Linked DNA regions of Drosophila melanogaster. The protein of the gene in region 3 interacts with the protein of the main gene of each other region in a pairwise test. Each region holds a gene or a part of one and is shown on either strand. Other genes may lie near its edges.

What was found.
Region 1: the proteins of Pdhb (region 3) and RtGEF interact in a two-hybrid assay, tested with the Drosophila melanogaster proteins (one large-scale study listed by BioGRID).
Region 2: the proteins of Pdhb (region 3) and TP53INP interact in a two-hybrid assay, tested with the Drosophila melanogaster proteins (one large-scale study listed by BioGRID).

The regions. Positions count from the first base shown.
Region 1 is NT_033779.5:20,351,523-20,357,326, reverse strand, and holds the start of RtGEF (Rho-type guanine nucleotide exchange factor), read right to left. Parts: upstream 3,361-5,804; 5' UTR 3,260-3,360; intron 1,965-3,259; 5' UTR 1,918-1,964; coding exon 1,580-1,917; intron 1,522-1,579; coding exon 1,321-1,521; intron 1,243-1,320; coding exon 822-1,242; intron 766-821; coding exon 526-765; intron 452-525; coding exon 1-451.
Region 2 is NT_037436.4:4,404,882-4,410,504, reverse strand, and holds the start of TP53INP (tumor protein p53 inducible nuclear protein), read right to left. Parts: upstream 3,361-5,623; 5' UTR 3,121-3,360; intron 1-3,120. Other genes in the region: CG15019 (uncharacterized protein), read left to right, coding at 4,535-4,720, 4,890-5,144.
Region 3 is NT_033777.3:29,110,446-29,116,697, reverse strand, and holds Pdhb (pyruvate dehydrogenase E1 beta subunit), read right to left. Parts: upstream 3,628-6,252; 5' UTR 3,558-3,627; exon of another isoform or gene 3,490-3,557; 5' UTR 3,441-3,489; coding exon 3,249-3,440; intron 2,705-3,248; coding exon 2,543-2,704; intron 2,270-2,542; coding exon of another isoform or gene 1,802-2,269; exon of another isoform or gene 1,752-1,801; intron 1,605-1,751; coding exon 1,193-1,604; intron 1,132-1,192; coding exon 1,012-1,131; intron 951-1,011; coding exon 739-950; 3' UTR 501-738; downstream 1-500. Other genes in the region: Atg14 (Autophagy-related 14), read right to left, coding at 1-230; alpha-Man-Ib (alpha-Mannosidase class I b), read left to right, coding at 4,201-4,287, 4,385-4,657, 4,826-5,339, 5,423-5,763, 5,822-6,009, 6,163-6,252. UniProt on the Drosophila melanogaster protein: The pyruvate dehydrogenase complex catalyzes the overall conversion of pyruvate to acetyl-CoA and CO(2). Might play a role in regulating synapse structure formation at neuromuscular junctions. Might play a role in maintenance of mitochondrial morphology.

The DNA of each region.
Region 1 (5,804 bases), on a different chromosome or scaffold from region 3:
TTTGGTAAAACTGCACATATTCAAACGGATCCGAGTCGCAGGAATGCAAAAAATCATCTTCAAAGTCATCGTCATAGCTCTCCGAGTCCGTTGGTAGTTCAATTGCATCCTGTCGTTCCAACTCGGACTGCCCCGAATCCTGATTGGTATTGAGATCTTTTAACTTTGCAGATGCCTTGTGACAACGCCTTTTGCGCAACGCAATCCTTTTGAGATCGATGCTCTGGCGAGCCTGCGGATACAGAAGCATCTTTACGATAGCACTCCTCAGTCCGCCGCCTTTAACAAGCCTGGCAAAGTGAGCACTAAGATTGGCGTACGGAGCTGTTGCTGGGTAATTGCTTGGGGGAAGAGTCACACGGAGAGGTCGCACATGGCACGGGGGGCTGGAGTAATAGGCACACAGCGAGAATCGCGTGCAGTAGCCCCGTGAATCCAAATGTTGACTCAGCTGCTCACGGTTTAAAGTGTCGCCAAAACGAAACGATAATAAAGGTGAATATATAGGAGAAATATACTACTTACATGAGCGGCATTTAGGTGTCCTAGCGAAGAGTTGCTCAAGTTACTCAATTGCCGTTTGATGCCCATCGGCAAGCTGGGATTATTGGCATTGAGCAGCTCCACCCACTTGTTGGCCTCATTCGGACCCTGACAAACTGCTACAATGCGATCGATCAAGGGACTGCTTATCTCAAAGGCGTTCTTCAGGGCATCCGTGTCCTCCAGGCGATTCACTATGATCCCAGTTAAGGGTAGCTTGCCCTGCGTGTGAAAACAGATTACAAACAAATTCGCCATGTTGTGCTTGTGTTTCCCACCTCATAGATGAATGCACTCATCCGCTGACTAACGCTAAGGAATAGCAATGTTTGAGGGAAGAGCACAAAGTATCGGTCGCGATGATCAGCTCCAACTGCAACGCTGCCCATGTGGATGATGTCCCCGAGGGTGCTCAGCTCTTGGCCCTGCCATCCACGCACTGGCCCCGTGAGCACTTGCAGCTCCAGCTCCTTTTGGCGACGGGTGGCCGAGCAGGTGGCAGCTATGTCTTTGTACACGGCAACACTCCGCTGGGTGTCGCCGCGATCCGGATGACTGCTCTCCATATGCCGCTCCAGCTCCTGCAGCATGGCCGAGTATTTGTCCAGTCGCCGGAAGGGCTTTGATAGACCCGTCGTGAGCACAAGTAATCCAGGAGTGGCTGCGCCCTGTCGTTCCATATACTTTTCCAGCTCGTCCCTTTTGGAATAGAAAAAAATTTATATTTATTAACAATTGAACACCACAATATATGTATATAAAGCGAGGAGCACATACTTGTACTTATCCAGTATGACAATGGCCTTTGGATGGGCAGCGCAGTACGCCTGGTGCACCTTCTTCATCAAGGGGGCGCTGGTGAGAAATAGTTTTCCCACTCGATCGTTGCACTCCTCGATCTGGATAAGCAAATCCTCGTGCGTACGCACAATCTCTACAAAGTTACACATCAGCTGGGCGTACTCATCCTGACTGAGTCTGTAGAAGAAGCCCTTTTAGATTATATTCAAATTATGTCAGAGAATAGAGAACTTACATTTGCGTCTGTTGCATGGGCTCCAAGAAATTCTCGAGCAGACCCTGCAGCTCGGCCACATGGGCGCGCTCCGAGTCAAGCAGATCCTTGAGCACCACAGACCGATACTCCTGGATCTCCTCCGGCGGCCTTATGGTCTCCGTTAGAGGCAGCTGCACCTTGCACTCATTCACATAGTTGCTGGGAAACCAGCCAGTCTTATCGTTCAGCGTTCCCTCCCACCAGCCACCATCCTCGCGCTGGGTAACCGTGATGACATCGCCCTTCTGGAAGCACAGCTCGTCGTTATTGCTGCCCATGAAGGAGTACTCCGCCTGCACCACCAGTGGCTGATCCATTATCGGATTGTTCAGGGCTGATCCGAGTGCGCACTAGATTGATTCAACTGAAACGAGGCGATGGGTATTGAACTTGAAACATCAGCCAGGCAATTTGCTCAATGAAAAAGCATATGTGAGCATATCGCTCGTTATATACAGCACCTACGCATTATTGCAGCGATGAGCTACATCATCGTCGATCGCTCGGCATTCCTCAGCCTCTTGGAATTAGCCGAGCAATAATTATGGCCCCAAAGAAGAAAACATTTTGAAAACATCTGTCGAGAAACGCGTGCGCAAGTTTCTTGACACTTTTCCGGCGACTCCCCTCCGGCTTTTCTTTCCTAGTTTACTGCAAGTGTCTGGAAAACTCGTGCGCTACACGATGGCCAAGGTCACACAAGCTGCGAGGATCCATTAAAAAATTGGGTAAAAATCACTCGCGCGTATTGTGAAAGAAAAACTTTTCGGGCCATAAAAACAATTTGAATAGCCGGACAGGACAGGCCAACATATAAATCATAAACAACGGCCACGTCGCGTCTAAAAATATTTACGACCTTTTTTATTTGGTTTGTTCGAACAACTCTTTAAGAGATCAACATTTCATTCAATCGTTAAACACTTTCGTTGACGGAAATGGGATTGGCACATTGGATTCTAAAGGCAAGTGCACTCTATACATCAGATATCTATAGAAAGAAGTAAAATCGCAATATTTTCGAATGCCTCGAAAATTATATTACGACATTGTTACTCACAAAAACCCCCAATATTCCAAAGCTTAATTGAAATGGTCTCTTGTATGAGTGGCACTAGGGGGCTAGTTAGTGGATGTCATTATTTTTAAAGTCGTTTATAAAAGTCTTTAGCCTAGTCTATTCGTTGGTACTATTTAAAATTGGCAGCGCGACGTGTGCTTTTATTAATATAGGAATTCCTATGTTTATGCAAAAATTCAATTCTGGACTGAAAATGTTAAAAAGTGATATATTTTCTAAAAATAGATGCATCACATTTGTTTGCTATTGCCGCAATGAGTAAACGCAAAAATATGAACAACTTGGTTTATTTTGCCCAAATAGTTTTCTAGAATACTAAAAATAAAAAACAGACGAAAGTGTACATATTGGCGGATCGCAAGTTCTATATGCCAAACTGGAACGTGTAGTTTTTCACGAATTATTACCGCTCTCATGAGATTGTCAAGATTTATAGGCTGATGAGAATATTTCCCTAAGGCAAGGTCACGTTTTGGTTGCACAAACGCATGAAAATTTCTTAAAATGTCACTTTTTCGCCATCTAGGCACTCGAATACATATACCCGCTACTCTTTTGTATAGATGGGTGATATATACTTTTTCGACAATAAATTGTGGTACGACAATTTGACGTTTTTCGCCGTTTTTCTGCTCTCAGACGATGCACCGCACGCGTTCATTGCTTCAGCGAAACTGCCGAGAAAAGCGGAAAATACCGAAAAGCTGGCGACATATGGCAGACGAATTTTCCACGGCAACCGAAAGTGCCACTCTCGCAGTCATTTTCTGAGAGTCTCGTCGGATCGCAGGAGATTCGAATATATTTTCACATGTACGCGAGCGTTTTCGACCGGACACATCGCATATTTTCATGAAAAATCAACAGAGATGTGACAAAAAATATGAATCCGGGGACAACCTTTTCATCTGCGTTTCCAAAATGAGGATCTTAATTGTATTTCATTGAGAAATAAGCGACACTCGCTGTGCTTTTGTATTGTCTATTCAAAAAAACCACATAAAAATATTTGTGCCAAAATATATGTGGGTTGCCTATTGGATGTGAGATCTTCCATGTTTGTGGATTCAGTCATCAATCGAAAACTTCTTCATATTCAAGCATTTTAGAATTATTTCAGAAAAATTCACCTGTTCCGCTCAGTTTCCTGTTGATCATACAATATATGCCCGTGAATCATAGGAAACGTTTATGGAATGTGTAGACTTGTATAATCTAAAATTTAGAATCGTGCGACACACATTGTGGTTTTAATGGGATTATGGCCTCAGGAAATGTTAAATTCGTCATATTTTTAGAATTTAAGATAGAATATAAATCAAATTTAACCCAAAGACTTTCATTCTGAGACAAACAAGGAGGCTGGAACTGTAAACTCTACTGAATAAAGATGTTGAAGCTTATAGACCGACGGAGAATTTTTGAGCTAGAGTGACCAAGAACTAAATATTTTTTCCACAGAATATTCGTATTCAAATCTGCCGAGATCAGAATGTCGGCAAAAAATATGCTTTATAAGTGCAGCGCCAAACCCAAGCCGAATGTATGTCACTTTCCTTCGCTTCGTTTAACCCTGAAATCACTTTAAGTCCATGGCCGGGCACAATCAAATTTCCGTAGGTGGTGGTGCTCCAAACGATGCATCGGAGGTCAGATGAGCAGATGCATAAATGCAGATACCGAGCGGCACACACGCAGATATGTGGGCACATACAAAGATGCATACATACCCCATTGAAGCTCTCGGAACCAAATTTTAATTAATTCATTAAACTTGCACATGGCGCCGCGCGGATCGGCTATGCGGCCCCATATCCAGATACAGATACAGATACAAGTTTCAGATACAGATACACCGGGCCCACGCTCTCTGAGTATAAGAGACAACTCTTTCGGTTATTAACGATCCGTCGCCGAAGGCGAAATTCAAATGAATATCCCTGCCGCTTCCGGAAATGCGCAATTTGGCGAGTAAAACGTCGCATCCATCGGAGGGGAGCACCCCAAATCAAATCACCGAATGTTTATTTTCGTGGGACACTGGGGAACGTAAACAACAAAGACGAGAGATGTAAAAGAAAGGCGAGTGGATTGTTTTGCTTGGCAAAGTCAGCGGCAAAGACAAACAAAGTCAGCCAAAGACAAACCAAATTTATGCAGTTCTGCCTGGTCGGGACCGGATCCGAATCGCTATCCCTACTAGCTCAGCCGAACTGCACTCAATAAGGCCTCTTCAATGTGTCAATACCGAGATTTACAGGCTGCACAGCCGCCACTTGAGATGCATTTCCTCAGATATATGGACGTAATATAGTTTGATTGCGTCGCTCGCCGTATTTATAGATACTTCGTGGCGGAGGAAGTCATCGGTGGCTGTGGGCACACCGAAGAGGTGAGCGAGTGGGAGTTCCAATAGCTTGTGGGGATCCGCTGTTCTCGACACCAACACACCAAGAACGAGGTCAGCAGCGGAAATATGAAGAAACGCGGTTTCCCAGCAGACACGAGTGAAAATCAGGCGCATGATTTGACGGCCAATGTTTGTTTTGGGAAATCACAGGCCCACATACAGATATTGCCAACATGCTTTCATTAAAGCGTAAGAATAACAACCATAGGGCGCAAAGAGCCAAGTGGTTCGACGAGATCTTACCCTAGACTTTTTCACATTCCCCACATAAATATATACAAACAAATATAACTTTTTAAACCATGAAATAATTCAATTTGATTTAAATAATATTTTCTAGGGTAGCTATTTATTTTGCAAACTGCTTTTGACCTGGTGGCCGAAACCAAGATCATGTGAGAGTAAAGAAAAGCATGAATTTGCATTCAGCTTGCCACCACCTTTCATAGGAAATTCTCTTGGCAGCGGTTCAAAATTGTTCGGGTAATGATGCTTGTTGGTTCTGGGAATCCAATGGGGGAGTTTGGGGCCGGGAGGCAGGTGGCATGCGGCAGGCAGCGGCAGGCAGAACGTGCCTCCGTCGTCGTCCGGCAGTGCATTTTACTTTCGCAGCGAGTGCTAGCAAACAAACGCTTTTCGGGAGGAGCTGGAACGGATGCCCCACGAGGAGCCCTGCTATTGACCCAATGGATTATGCAGGCGGACCTCTGAAC
Region 2 (5,623 bases), on a different chromosome or scaffold from region 3:
TATATGAGTGCGTAAAAGTTTGCAGCAAAAATCAATGCGAACTACTTTGATGCTGAAAATATATTGTAGCATACTTTCAAACATCTTTCTAATTAGTATTTTTCCGCTTGCCAAGTACGATCTCTTTTTAAAGAAACTTTATGCAGATTGGTGACCTTATTTCCTGCCCTTTGACAGTTTCCTTTCCTTCATAATCAAATGAATTTTTAACGCCATTTCCATAGCGTCAGGCGTAAATATAGCACTCAAATTGCCACAGTTGTGTTTGAACGACGCCAATTAAAAGGCAGATTTATGGGCAAATATAAATCGACCGCCCCCCGCCCCTTGCAGACACCACCCACTGGGCTTGAAATAGTTTTCCCACCGCAGTTTGTTACTGTAACTGGTACGGTTACTGGCTTTTCCCCTACATTCACTGCAGGACTTTTCCCTAGTTCTCTCTCTCTCTCTCTTTGCTCTCAGTCCTATTTTGTTTACAAACAAATTTGTTTGACCTGCGCAGTCGGAGGGCATTTTCCCCGATGACGATTACCTAGCAACCTTCACGATGGGACCCATTGAATGTTTTGGTTCTCTCTCTCTGGTATATATATATATATAGAGGGAATACCCACCATCCTAAATATATATGTATATACAAAGTAACGACTTCCGCATTTGGGAAAATGTAGGCCCAGAGAAACTTTTTTGCAGCCTCCCGTTCCGCAGCCGTTTTGGGGGTCACCTTTGCTATTTTTGGGCTTGCACAGGGTGCCTCCTAGTTGTTGGGTGTAGGGTCCGCACCACATGCTTACCTCCCTTTGGAAGCGGTTTAGCTGCAAATCGATGAAAGGCCCATAGCTGCAAATCAGCGCCAGTGGAAAATGAACACGTCAGCAACCCCAAAGTGGAAAACGGGGAAGGGATTTGGGTGAAACTGCGCAGTGTGCAGTGTTACTGGGCCTACCACCTGGAACCACCCCGTTTACCACCCCGAATCTTCTACCCTACAGTACCCACATGCAGCTGCGTTTATTTTCAAGAATTATGACATAATTTTTGACATTTAGATGCGCAGTCAAAAGAGTCAGGGGGGAGAAAAAAAACTTACATAACTCGAAAATACTAAACAACTTGAACTTGACTCTGTGTCTTTGTTTCGCATCGGTTTTTTTTTGTTTGTGTCCTGAGTAAACTGGTTTTGCCCGCACCTACAGCAGTTTCACTTTCTTCATGGCCATAAATCAGGACCTGCGAGGAACCCGAAAAACAGTAACCCAAAACCGAGACAAGAACATCAAGTGTTGGTTATTTGGCCTTTTGTTTGGATATCTTTCGGATGCACATGCCTAAGTACAGGTACGGCAAGTCGGCTGACTAAATTTCTAATTATAGTCGGGCATTATCGGCTCTGCGGGGAGGGCAGTCCCATCCCATTTTGGGATTAGCCACCAGCCAGTTGCCTTCCCCTGCTACCTGTTAGTTGGTTTTTGGATCTGCACCCGATGGGCTGAGTTGCGGATACCCCTGGGACTGTCCAAAATTGCCACGTCAGTATCTATGCTCTAATTAAACCAGATAATGCCGTCTAACGATAACCTAATTGCCTTCATTCCCTACTCAGTTCAGTGCTCAGAGGAATTGACACTGCTGCAGATAAATAAATAATCACCGAATTGGGTCGCTAAGTAGCTAAGTATGGTTTACTTAAAATGAATAACTTTCAAAAAAACAAATGATCGACTTATGAATTATAGAACTCAAATACTTCTGTTATCTAACACATTTTCTCCCTGTGCATCGGTTGGACTTTCTGTGACTACGGTTACCCTTTTGGCCAATTAAGGCGACCAGATTTGTTGGCCACGATCGAAGCGGGGCAGCCAACTGACTTTATCTGCCAGATACACATTTGGCTGAGTTCGCGTTGCTGCAGCATCATCAGCTGTTCGCTGTTTATGTTGTTGTCTGTGGCTTTTGTTTTTCAATTTTTCTTTCATTGCCACAGACAAACAACTGGCCAGACTTGATTTATCATCCGCGACGGTTCTTCCCATTCGTTTTTGGACCCCTACTCCCCACCCCTCCGTTTCGATCCAGCACCTTCCGTTCTTTAGAGGTTTTTTTTTTAGCTCTTCAGCTCGAAAAATGGACAATGGACAATGGCAACTGCAAGACCTGTTCTGCACATTTGGCGCATGATTCACTTGGGTTTTTGGGCCTGCTTTTGTGGCTGTGGAGCGGCAAGGTTTCTCCTCGAAATGCTCCCTATTTTCGTTTGCCTCTCGGATCTCAACATCTGAGCAAATGTTGGCAGGCATCCAGGAGATTTTTTTTGGCCATAATATTATAGTTGAGGAAATAATTGCAAGGCTAATTAAGATGTTAATCAGCGAAACATTCATTGCACTTGCCATCACCAGTTGACACTCCATGAACACACAATGATTGCACAAAAAAAAATATATAACTCGATCGTGGGGCAAAGTGCAGCAGCTAATATGTAAGTCTGAACACAGAGAGAAATTTTTCTAAAAAGAGTATGAGAAATTCTGAACGCTTTATGTTAGCATTTAATTCTATACACTCATTATTCCAATAAGCTCTACATTAGATGGTTTTAGGCAAATTTTTAGCAGTGCACTCAGCTGGGAAATGCCAGAGATCTGAGATGTGGCACGGATCTGATAACGATCGCTAAAAATGCTGAAAACGTGATGCAAGTCAAATTTATGGCTATTAGATGCCCAGAATGGAAATCCCCTTAACAAGAAACTCGGCCGATTTGCAGCCAAATACAATTTGGGGGAAAATCGGTGTTTGTGTGTGTGTAAGTGCATGTGGAGATGGAAAACTGTTGGCCTGGCCGAAAGCCAAGGAAAACTCACACAGCCGCAAAAGTGTGAACTCTTTGGATGCGAAGGTGCAATCAGAATTTTTTCCTGCTTTTTCGTATGTATCGCTGGGCTGCACTTTGGGATGTGTGTACATGTAAATCGGCTTGCAGCAGAACTTTTGAGAAACATATCTGAGCATGTGTTGGTGCGTGTGTGAGTGTAATGTCCTTTCCTTGGAGAAGGACTTCCGCTTCAGTATTTTTCTGCTTTTTTTCTTTGGGGGGGTTAAAACTGCACTTACTTGCTGCGCGGAGTTTATTGATCGATCGGTGTCGGAATCTACCCGTATTCTCTGCAATAATTTGCACCAGCAAGGCTTTTTACACAGTTTTCGAAATGTTTTTTAATTGGCGTGCTTATTGTTTTTTGTGCTGATTACTTCCGTTTTTGCTTAACTGACGGGGGTGAGAGTGCGGAGAAGAGCAGCGCTACAGGAACTCCGTGACGTATGCTAGCAACAACGACTGACGAGCGAATGATGGCAGAAGGTCTACAAACTGGCCAACCAAGCTGGTTGCCCCCCTATCTGTGTGCCTCTGCTGTTCGCTGGTGTTGGTGCGCTACCCATGTATTGGTGGCTCTACAGCTGAGCCCGACACACTTACCCTGTTTCTGCCTCTTTCTGCTGCTGCGCATGTGCAAGAGAGGCTCTTCGGATGCTCTATCCAAATCGAAAGTAACTCAGCTATGTCACTGAAGTAAACACATTGTATTGTACATTAACAATACCTTATACTTTGGCTAAATAGCTAGGACATTTTTACAGTCTATCTCTTTGTGAAAACCTTTTTATCAAGGTCTTTAAAAAGTAAGTGCATTTAAGCCGAATTCTTTTAAACTGTTAAACAAACTATTATATGCATTGTCTTAGCTATTAGAGAAAACTATTGCATTTTGTACAATCATATATTTTTTATAAAATTCTATTTAGTGTATTAAAAATCTAGTCGGTGTAGAGCATTTCACAACGACTATATTTCCTATTTTAGTTACTTTTCGTATTTGGCAAGCCTCTCATTTTCTCTTCAGCAGCTGATTTTGTTTGTATACAAAAATCATATTGCAATATATATATACTGAAAAGGAGAGAGAACAAAAGGTAAATAAATACAGAGTGGAAAAGGGGAAGAAAGAGATGAATGGAAACGAAAATGGAAGTGGAAAAAAGCCACAAAAGCTTAATTTGTGGTTTTTAAAAAAGTTATAACTTATATGCATTAAAGGCAAAGTCATAAAAACTAGAATTTAATATGTTTTAATATATTTTGTGGTTTTTAAAAATTTATGTACCTGATAATTGATACAACAGCGCTACAGCATATTAGGGAAAATAAGGACATAAGGTGTAATTAAATAATATGACACATATTTCTATACAGATAAGTGTCTTTTACATAGAAAGTATATAAAACTATTTAAAAAACGAGAGTAAAAAAAAAACAATTTTTAATCTTGGCGGCTAAATAACTAAAAATAAGCCCTGGTCGATTAATTTATTTGCGCTATCGATAAGAGCCCGCTGAAAAAAATCGAAGAAAAATCGGGCAGTTTTCCAGCTCTAGCAAAAACACACGTGTTTACGTTTTTAGCAAATTGAACGCAATTTCTTTACTTCTTTGACTTTTTCTGGTATTACTTAATATCCGACTACCGAAATGGGCAGAAACAATCGCTCGAGAAAGCGTCGTGATGAAATGAATAAGATAAAGAAGGCGCGGTACGAAGCCAAGGAGTTAATTCGACTGAAGAAAACTCTGGGACTCCTAGATGCCGATGGAAATGAGATCATGAAGGATATAAGCGATGTGGTCGAAATTAAGACCGCCAAGGAGCTCAAAAGGGTTAGTTATGTGATATACCCACCTACAAATATACCAATTTACCTAATGTATTATATGTATTGTATGCATGTAATATGCGAAAAACCGGCTTAGTTTATCGCGATACTACCTTCATTCTTGTTACGTATTTTATATCCTTATTAAAGAAGAAATTGTATTCCTAAAACAGGAGGCCAAATCCAAGGAGGAGCAGGAATTGATCTACGAGCACCAGGAGAGTCTGGAGAAGGGCGAGAAAGTCAAGGTGACCAACGAGAACACGGGCGTGGAGCACATTTTCAACAGCAAGACCCTCAAAGATCAGTACGGCAATTATCCTGCGTGGTTCAAGAAGAAGAAGACCGCCAAGCGTCTAAGAAAGAAGCAGCACTCGCAGAAGAAGAACTTCAAACAGGCCTGGACCACGGTTAATGTTCCCCTATAAATCCGGGGCTGGGTTACCCATCTGGTATCTTATCGTAGTTTATAAGTCCTCGCTTAGTTTAGGAGATTTTGTAGGCTTTTTCTACAAAGATGTTATAGCTAAGAGTATATATTGCATATTAAAGCCCAAACAAGTTCTGAAAAACCCAGATATAGTCTGAACTTCTCAACATGGCAATCAAATAGTATCATTACTTTTTTAAAGCTACGAGTTATTATTGCATATTAAAGCCTTAAAATCTACACACATTTGCGGTGTCATGTGAACAACAAGTATCCAACGCTTAAACTAAAGTGCAGTTACATTATGCTCATTAGCTCTATTGCACGTGGAAAATCACAAAATGGGGATATTGAACTAAAATCGTGGTCAAATTTCTACTGAACGGAACAATAGCTGCGCACGCTGCAAATCACTCCGTTGGTGGCTGCCTCCAAACGTCGTGTGTTCGCCGACCATATGTGCGTGGTGGCCAGAGC
Region 3 (6,252 bases):
CTGCAGCTGTGGCACAGTGGGCACCGCATGTGGGCACCCATTCCCGTGGTGGCGTTCCTATCCTTGGCGTTCGCATCCTTCAACAGTTCCTTCGTCGCTGCCGTTGGCCTGCGCTTTGTTGTGTATCCTGCGACATCTGATTCCTCGTCCTCGCCGTTTGTGGAGGCGCTCGAGATGCGAAAGTTGTCGGGGGCCTTGCAGCTTTCGTCGGAGCTGGAGCTGTTTGCCATTACAGCCAAAGCATTGCAATTATTTGTTATGTTATATCTTTTGTTATTGTTAACTTTGCTATTATCGCTATCGATATGAGGACACCTATTGCTAAACGATAGGCTGATATCGAAAAAATAGATGTCGTCAGTGTTGGACAGCGTTCAATAGGAAAACGTTTTCATCGGTGCGCGCACTTTTTAAACTTCAATCATTAACGATAAGAATTATATATTTTTTATCTTCTGATATTATATCATTAACTATACCAAAATATAAGCACTCAAAATGTATTTATGTTTTCGTTTATTTTTCACAAGAGATTTCTATAACCAAATAATTAAACTAGAACGTCCGAAAACTAATCAAAACCCGAAAGCGGTAGTGCTTTATTTTCAGAACATTCAATTTCCAGTTCGGTGCACTATTATGGGGGCAGCTCGGTTAGACCAGAGGCAGCGTTTCGACTTGGACTATAAATTTAGTTAGCTGGGGGTTCCGATCGGGAGGCTGGCTAGTCCTGAGTTCCTACTTGTTGGCCGCAGCGGCCTTGCCCACTTTGCCACCCAAGACCTTAAGAGTCGCCTCCACGAGATCCTGAACGCGGGGCAGGGCGTGGGCCTCCAGCGTCTTGGCATAGGGCATGGGCACATCCACGCCGGCGCAGCGCCATACGGGGGCGTCCAGCTCGAAGAAGGTCTGGTCCTCCATTATGCGGGCGCAGATCTCAGCTCCAACGCCTAAGAGGGTAAAAATTTATAAATATCGCTAGGCTTTCAATTAGCTGAATTTCCCACTCACCGTGTTGGGGCCAGCCGTTCTCCACGGTCACCAGATGGTGGGTCTTTCGTACAGAGGCGAAGATGGTCGCCGTGTCCAGAGGACGAATGGAGCGCAGGTTAATGACCTCAGCCTCAATACCTAAACATATAAGAGAAGGTTAGCTACTTTTCGCGTCATTCAAAGTAAAACAGTGCCGTACCCTTCTTGGCCAGCTCGGCAGCTGCCAGAAGCGATGTCTCCACCGCCTTGGAATGCGCCACCAGGGTAATGTCCTTGCCCGGCCGCATTACCTTGGCCTTGCCGATGGGCACCAAGAAGTCCTTGTCGGCCACGTTATCGGCCACAGGGAATGCCGTGCCATAGACCAGCTCATTCTCCAGGAAGACCACTGGATCGGGATCACGGATTGCGGACTTCAACAGTCCGCGGGCATCCTCGGCATCGTATGGCGAAAGGACCTTCAGGCCGGGGCAGTGGGCGTACCAGGCGGCGAAGCACTGAGAGTGCTGGGCGGCAACACCGGAAGCGGCTCCATTGGGACCACGGAACACAATGGGCACATTGACGGCACCGGCAGACATGTAGAAGGTCTTGGCCGCCGAGTTGATGATCTAAGATTTGAAATTTTAAAGGGATATATTTTAGCAATCCATATTATTATGAATGTGTAATATGACTTAGAAATAATAAAGTGAAAAATGAATGAAAATAATGCTCAGTGTGGATGCCTGTTCCATCAAACTGCAAATTCGCCAATTCAAGTTAATACGCTTTATTTGATGCACTCCTTTCTGTTCCGTCTTGATCTTTACTTAATGCCTAGTTTCTGCTTAATGATAAATGCCGGCAGGCGGCGTCCCTTCCAGAAACGCGGCAGCGGCGTCTCGTTGGCCTGCCGCAGGATCTCCGCCACGTGCTGCTCCGCACTGAATGCCTCCGCCTGCTTGATCTGGGATATCAGCTTTGCTTGGAAGGCCTTCTCTTTGCGCATCTCGCGGCGCTGGCGCACCTTGGCCCACTCGAACTTCATCTTGCGACGCAGCTTCTTTAGCTTGTGCTTCTTCATCTTGCGCCGCCGAATGACGATGAGGCGGGCCGCCTCCATCTTGTCCGACTTGCTCTTGTCCAGCGGCGGCGCAATCACCTCGCCGACTCGATCTCTGTGCAGGATGTCGTTGATCTCATTCAGCCAAGTTGAGCGTGGACTTTCAATTATGAGGCTTATTGGCAGAGGGCGATCACCGACTGGCGGCTTGGCGCAATCGAGTATCTTTGCCTGCACATAATCGGATAATATGGGTGGGGATTAGTGAGGTCCGATCTATGACTTGGGGCAGGAGCTAATCCACCCATATTATCCCATTAAGCGCCGCTGCATATTGCACTTGAATTGGTCTATTTGCTAGCTGTTGGAGTTGTGAGGCATTTGTATTGGATTGTCGTGTTCTTTCTTTTGGTTTACGTTTTGTTGGCAATGAGATAATATGAGTAGTTAGCCTACTGCTGGAGTGCGGGGAGTGGTTCTTAGGACAAGGATGAGGCAACTCACGTGATCGATGGCCTGCATGGAGAAGTTCCAGGTCATGAACTCGCACACGGGACGCAGACCGGCCATGGCAGCGCCAACAGCGATGCCGGCAAAGCCCATCTCTGTGATTGGCGTGTCGATGACGCGCTTGTCGCCGTACTTCTTCCACAGTCCACGGGAAACCTAAAAAGGGCATTAAATGATTAATAGAATGTTAGGATACCAGAAAAATATGTAGGGCTTATTCAGGATGGGAACCTTTTATCTGTTTGTAAAACTTTCCAAGCTGATAACTCATTAACTAAGATTTCTTCAGGAAATACCATTATTCTAACAGGTAATTGTATTGTACTTTGCGTGTCCTATCTAGTTGTTACACCAGTAGCCACAATCATAGTTTAAATGAATCTAATAGGATAGAATTGCTAACGCCGGTTATCAATCCACCTCAAATGGGTAAACAAATCGTTGTTTTATGGGCCAATCTATATAATCAGCAGACAGTCGGTCACACATATTCTGCGTGACCTTGCCCACTCCGATCACGCATTCGGATTCGCGTCGACCTGTTCGGAATCACTATCAGTAGTTACATATAGCACGCATATATCACCCCGCTGACCACCAACTTCCCCCATCCCGGCCACCTGCATCAGCTGTCGTCGTCGCAACCGCCTGCTTGCTGTTTACGTAATCGCGCAGGGGCAGGAAAAGTCGCAGATCTCACCTTGTAAGCACCGTCGTACTGGGCCACCTCCTCGCCCAGGATGAAGACGCGGTCGTCGCGGGCCAGCTCATCGTCCAATGCGCTGTTGAGGGCATCTCGCACGGTCATCTGCTTGGCCGCCAGGGCCTTCTGGCTGGTGGAGAACGCTCGCTGGGCGGAGCTGGCCGCCTGGATGAGTCGGGTTCGGAGCATCGTCGGTTTGCGGTTCGCTTTCCTATGGGTCTATCGCTATCGTTGCCGGCTGTAGGTGTTATTTTTTGGGTTTTAAGTGCTATTATCTAACTAAAAATGGGCTATGGGTTTACGCACCGACTTCCGTCGAAATTTTGATGTGAAAATGGGATGTGACCAGATGTGACCACTTTAATGCCGTATTGTGGGCACACTTGGAGCTTACCAGGGCTGCCAAATAAATCACTGTTAAGTGGGACTAGTGTTGGCCACTCTAGATTTGGCTAAATTCATACTGTGTTAGCTGGATTTTCGAAAAAATTAGCCACTTCGTATTAATATATATTCTTTAGAAAAATTCTTTTATAAAGTAGTGATAATATCTAAAATATAATTTAATTTGCTTTTTTTTTATTTAAGAGGTATTTCAAAAGTAAATGATTGCTAGCCCCATCTTTAGTTTTGGCCGGACTGTTGAAGAACAAGTTGGCAGCATTGCAGCTCAAAAATGCAGCTCTCGTGAAATAATTTTAGAATTTCTTATTTGTAATTTTGCATAGTGTGGGCCAGAACTAGCATATATAAATTAATGCACTGGCACGTATAGAGATGATTAAGGCATAAAAGAGGTAGTAGTTGGACCAACCTTGGTTAGTTAGCTCCGATTCCTCCGCGGCCAGCGGCGCACAGCAATCGATTTTTATTCGAGGCGAATGCTGTGGAATTTCCCATCCAACTTTCCCACACTCTGAATTCCGGCGGCGGCATTTAGTGAAACACTATGAAGGACGGCGGTCACATAACGCTCACACTCCCGCCGGGATCAGCGGCGACGACGGACGAGCGGGGCAGGAAGAGCCTGCGTCGGGTAGGTAGCAACCTGGCAGAAGTCCAGTTGCTGGGGTCCTGGGACATCCTCAAGAAACCCAGAACTTATAAGTACGATCTTTTGTCTCACGGTTCAGGCTTGGAATCAGCTACCGCGTTGTCAGCGCAATCTCATTATTCTGGGCATCACCGGATTCTGCGTGACAGTGTTGCTCTGCCTAAGTGGCGATCAGCTGCTGGCTGCCAGCTTAAAGGATGTGGACACCAAGGCCGAGGTGGCAGCATATCAAATGCCCCTGCCCAATCCGCACCATCATCCGGGGGTGGATAAGGATGTGCCCAAAGACACTGCTGCGGTACCTGTTCCGGCCGATAAGAGAGCACCCCGGGTGGAGGCGGTTAGTGATAAGGTAAGTAGGCCCCCCACTTAATTGATAAGTGCCTAAGTGGCTGGAGTTGTTTGCCTATTAAGATAGCATGCGTATCAATACGATTGACTATTGGTGTTTGATTTATTGCCCACGCAGCACACTTCCAGTAAAATCTATTAATGATATCTCAATATCAATCAATTTCAGTTTAATGAGCTAGTTGCCTATGGAGAAGCGAACTCAGCGGAGAACGTGGCCCGTCTGCCGGAGACGGTGGCTGCTGAAGGACTTCCCCAGGCCTCGGCCATGGCCGTGGCCTTGCCTCCCCCCGATAGTAACAAGGAGCAGGACATCGGTGGAATCGACATCCTAAACAATGTAGAGGAGCCCGTCGCCCAGGATCCAGCAGAGCCGCTTAGCGAGGGCGAGCAGCTTGAGCAAGCCATCAAGAACCCACTCACTCTGGGCGGCGTTAGCTTCAAAGAGCATCTCAAAAAGATCAAGCCCATTCTGGCCAAGGGCCAGCACTTCCATGGCGCCACCAACGAAAGACAGTCGGCTGTTGTAGCCGCCTTCAAGCACTCCTGGGCTGGCTACAAGAAGTATGCCTGGGGCCACGACAACCTGAAGCCCATCTCCCAGTACTCCCACGAGTGGTTCGGTCTGGGACTAACCATTGTTGACTCATTGGATACCATGTACATAATGGGACTGGATGATGGTAAGTTGCCTATATCCTAATGTGCACAAAATCATTAGTTTATGGAAATACTTTCCTTATTTTTCTCAATAACATCTACACAGAATTCAAGGAAGGACGCGACTGGGTAGAGCAATCACTGCGCTTTGATACCAAGCGCGATGTAAACCTATTCGAGGTCACCATACGTGTCCTAGGCGGACTGCTGTCTGCATATCACCTGAGCGGCGATACAATGTTTCTGGCCAAGGCTGCGGAACTTGGCAACCGTTTACTTCCCGCCTTTCAATCGCCGTCAAATATCCCCTATTCTGATGTGAATCTCGGAGATCTTTCGGCGCACTCGCCGAAGTGGTCTCCTGATAGCTCCACCAGTGAGGTCACCACCATTCAGCTAGAGTTTCGTGATTTGAGTCGCTCTACAAACATCTCCATTTATGAACAGGTAAACGAAACAGATCAGATAAGGGCAATAACGAACTATAAAATAAATGACTTATCAGGTTGCTCACAAAGTAAACGAGAAGGTGCATGATCTGGAGAAGAACCATGGTTTGGTGCCCATATTCATTAACGCCAACACAGGAACATTCCGAAACTACGCCACTATCTCGCTTGGTGCTCGTGGGGACTCCTACTATGAGTACTTGCTCAAACAGTGGATTCAGACCGGCCGCAAGGATAATGATAAGTACGTATCTGAGTGTGACATTGAAGTTAAGAATTTCTATTAAGAACAAAGAATTCTTGATCAAGACGTAGAAATTTCAGCTTGTTGATTTATCACAGCTGTGCTGTGGCAATTGTTTATTATTTACTTTATTTAACCTCTTTTTTATTTTAGCCTTATTTTGGACTACATGCAAGCAGTCGATGGTGTTCTAACACAACTGATGCGGCGCACGCCACGCGAGCACTGGGTTTACATTGGCGA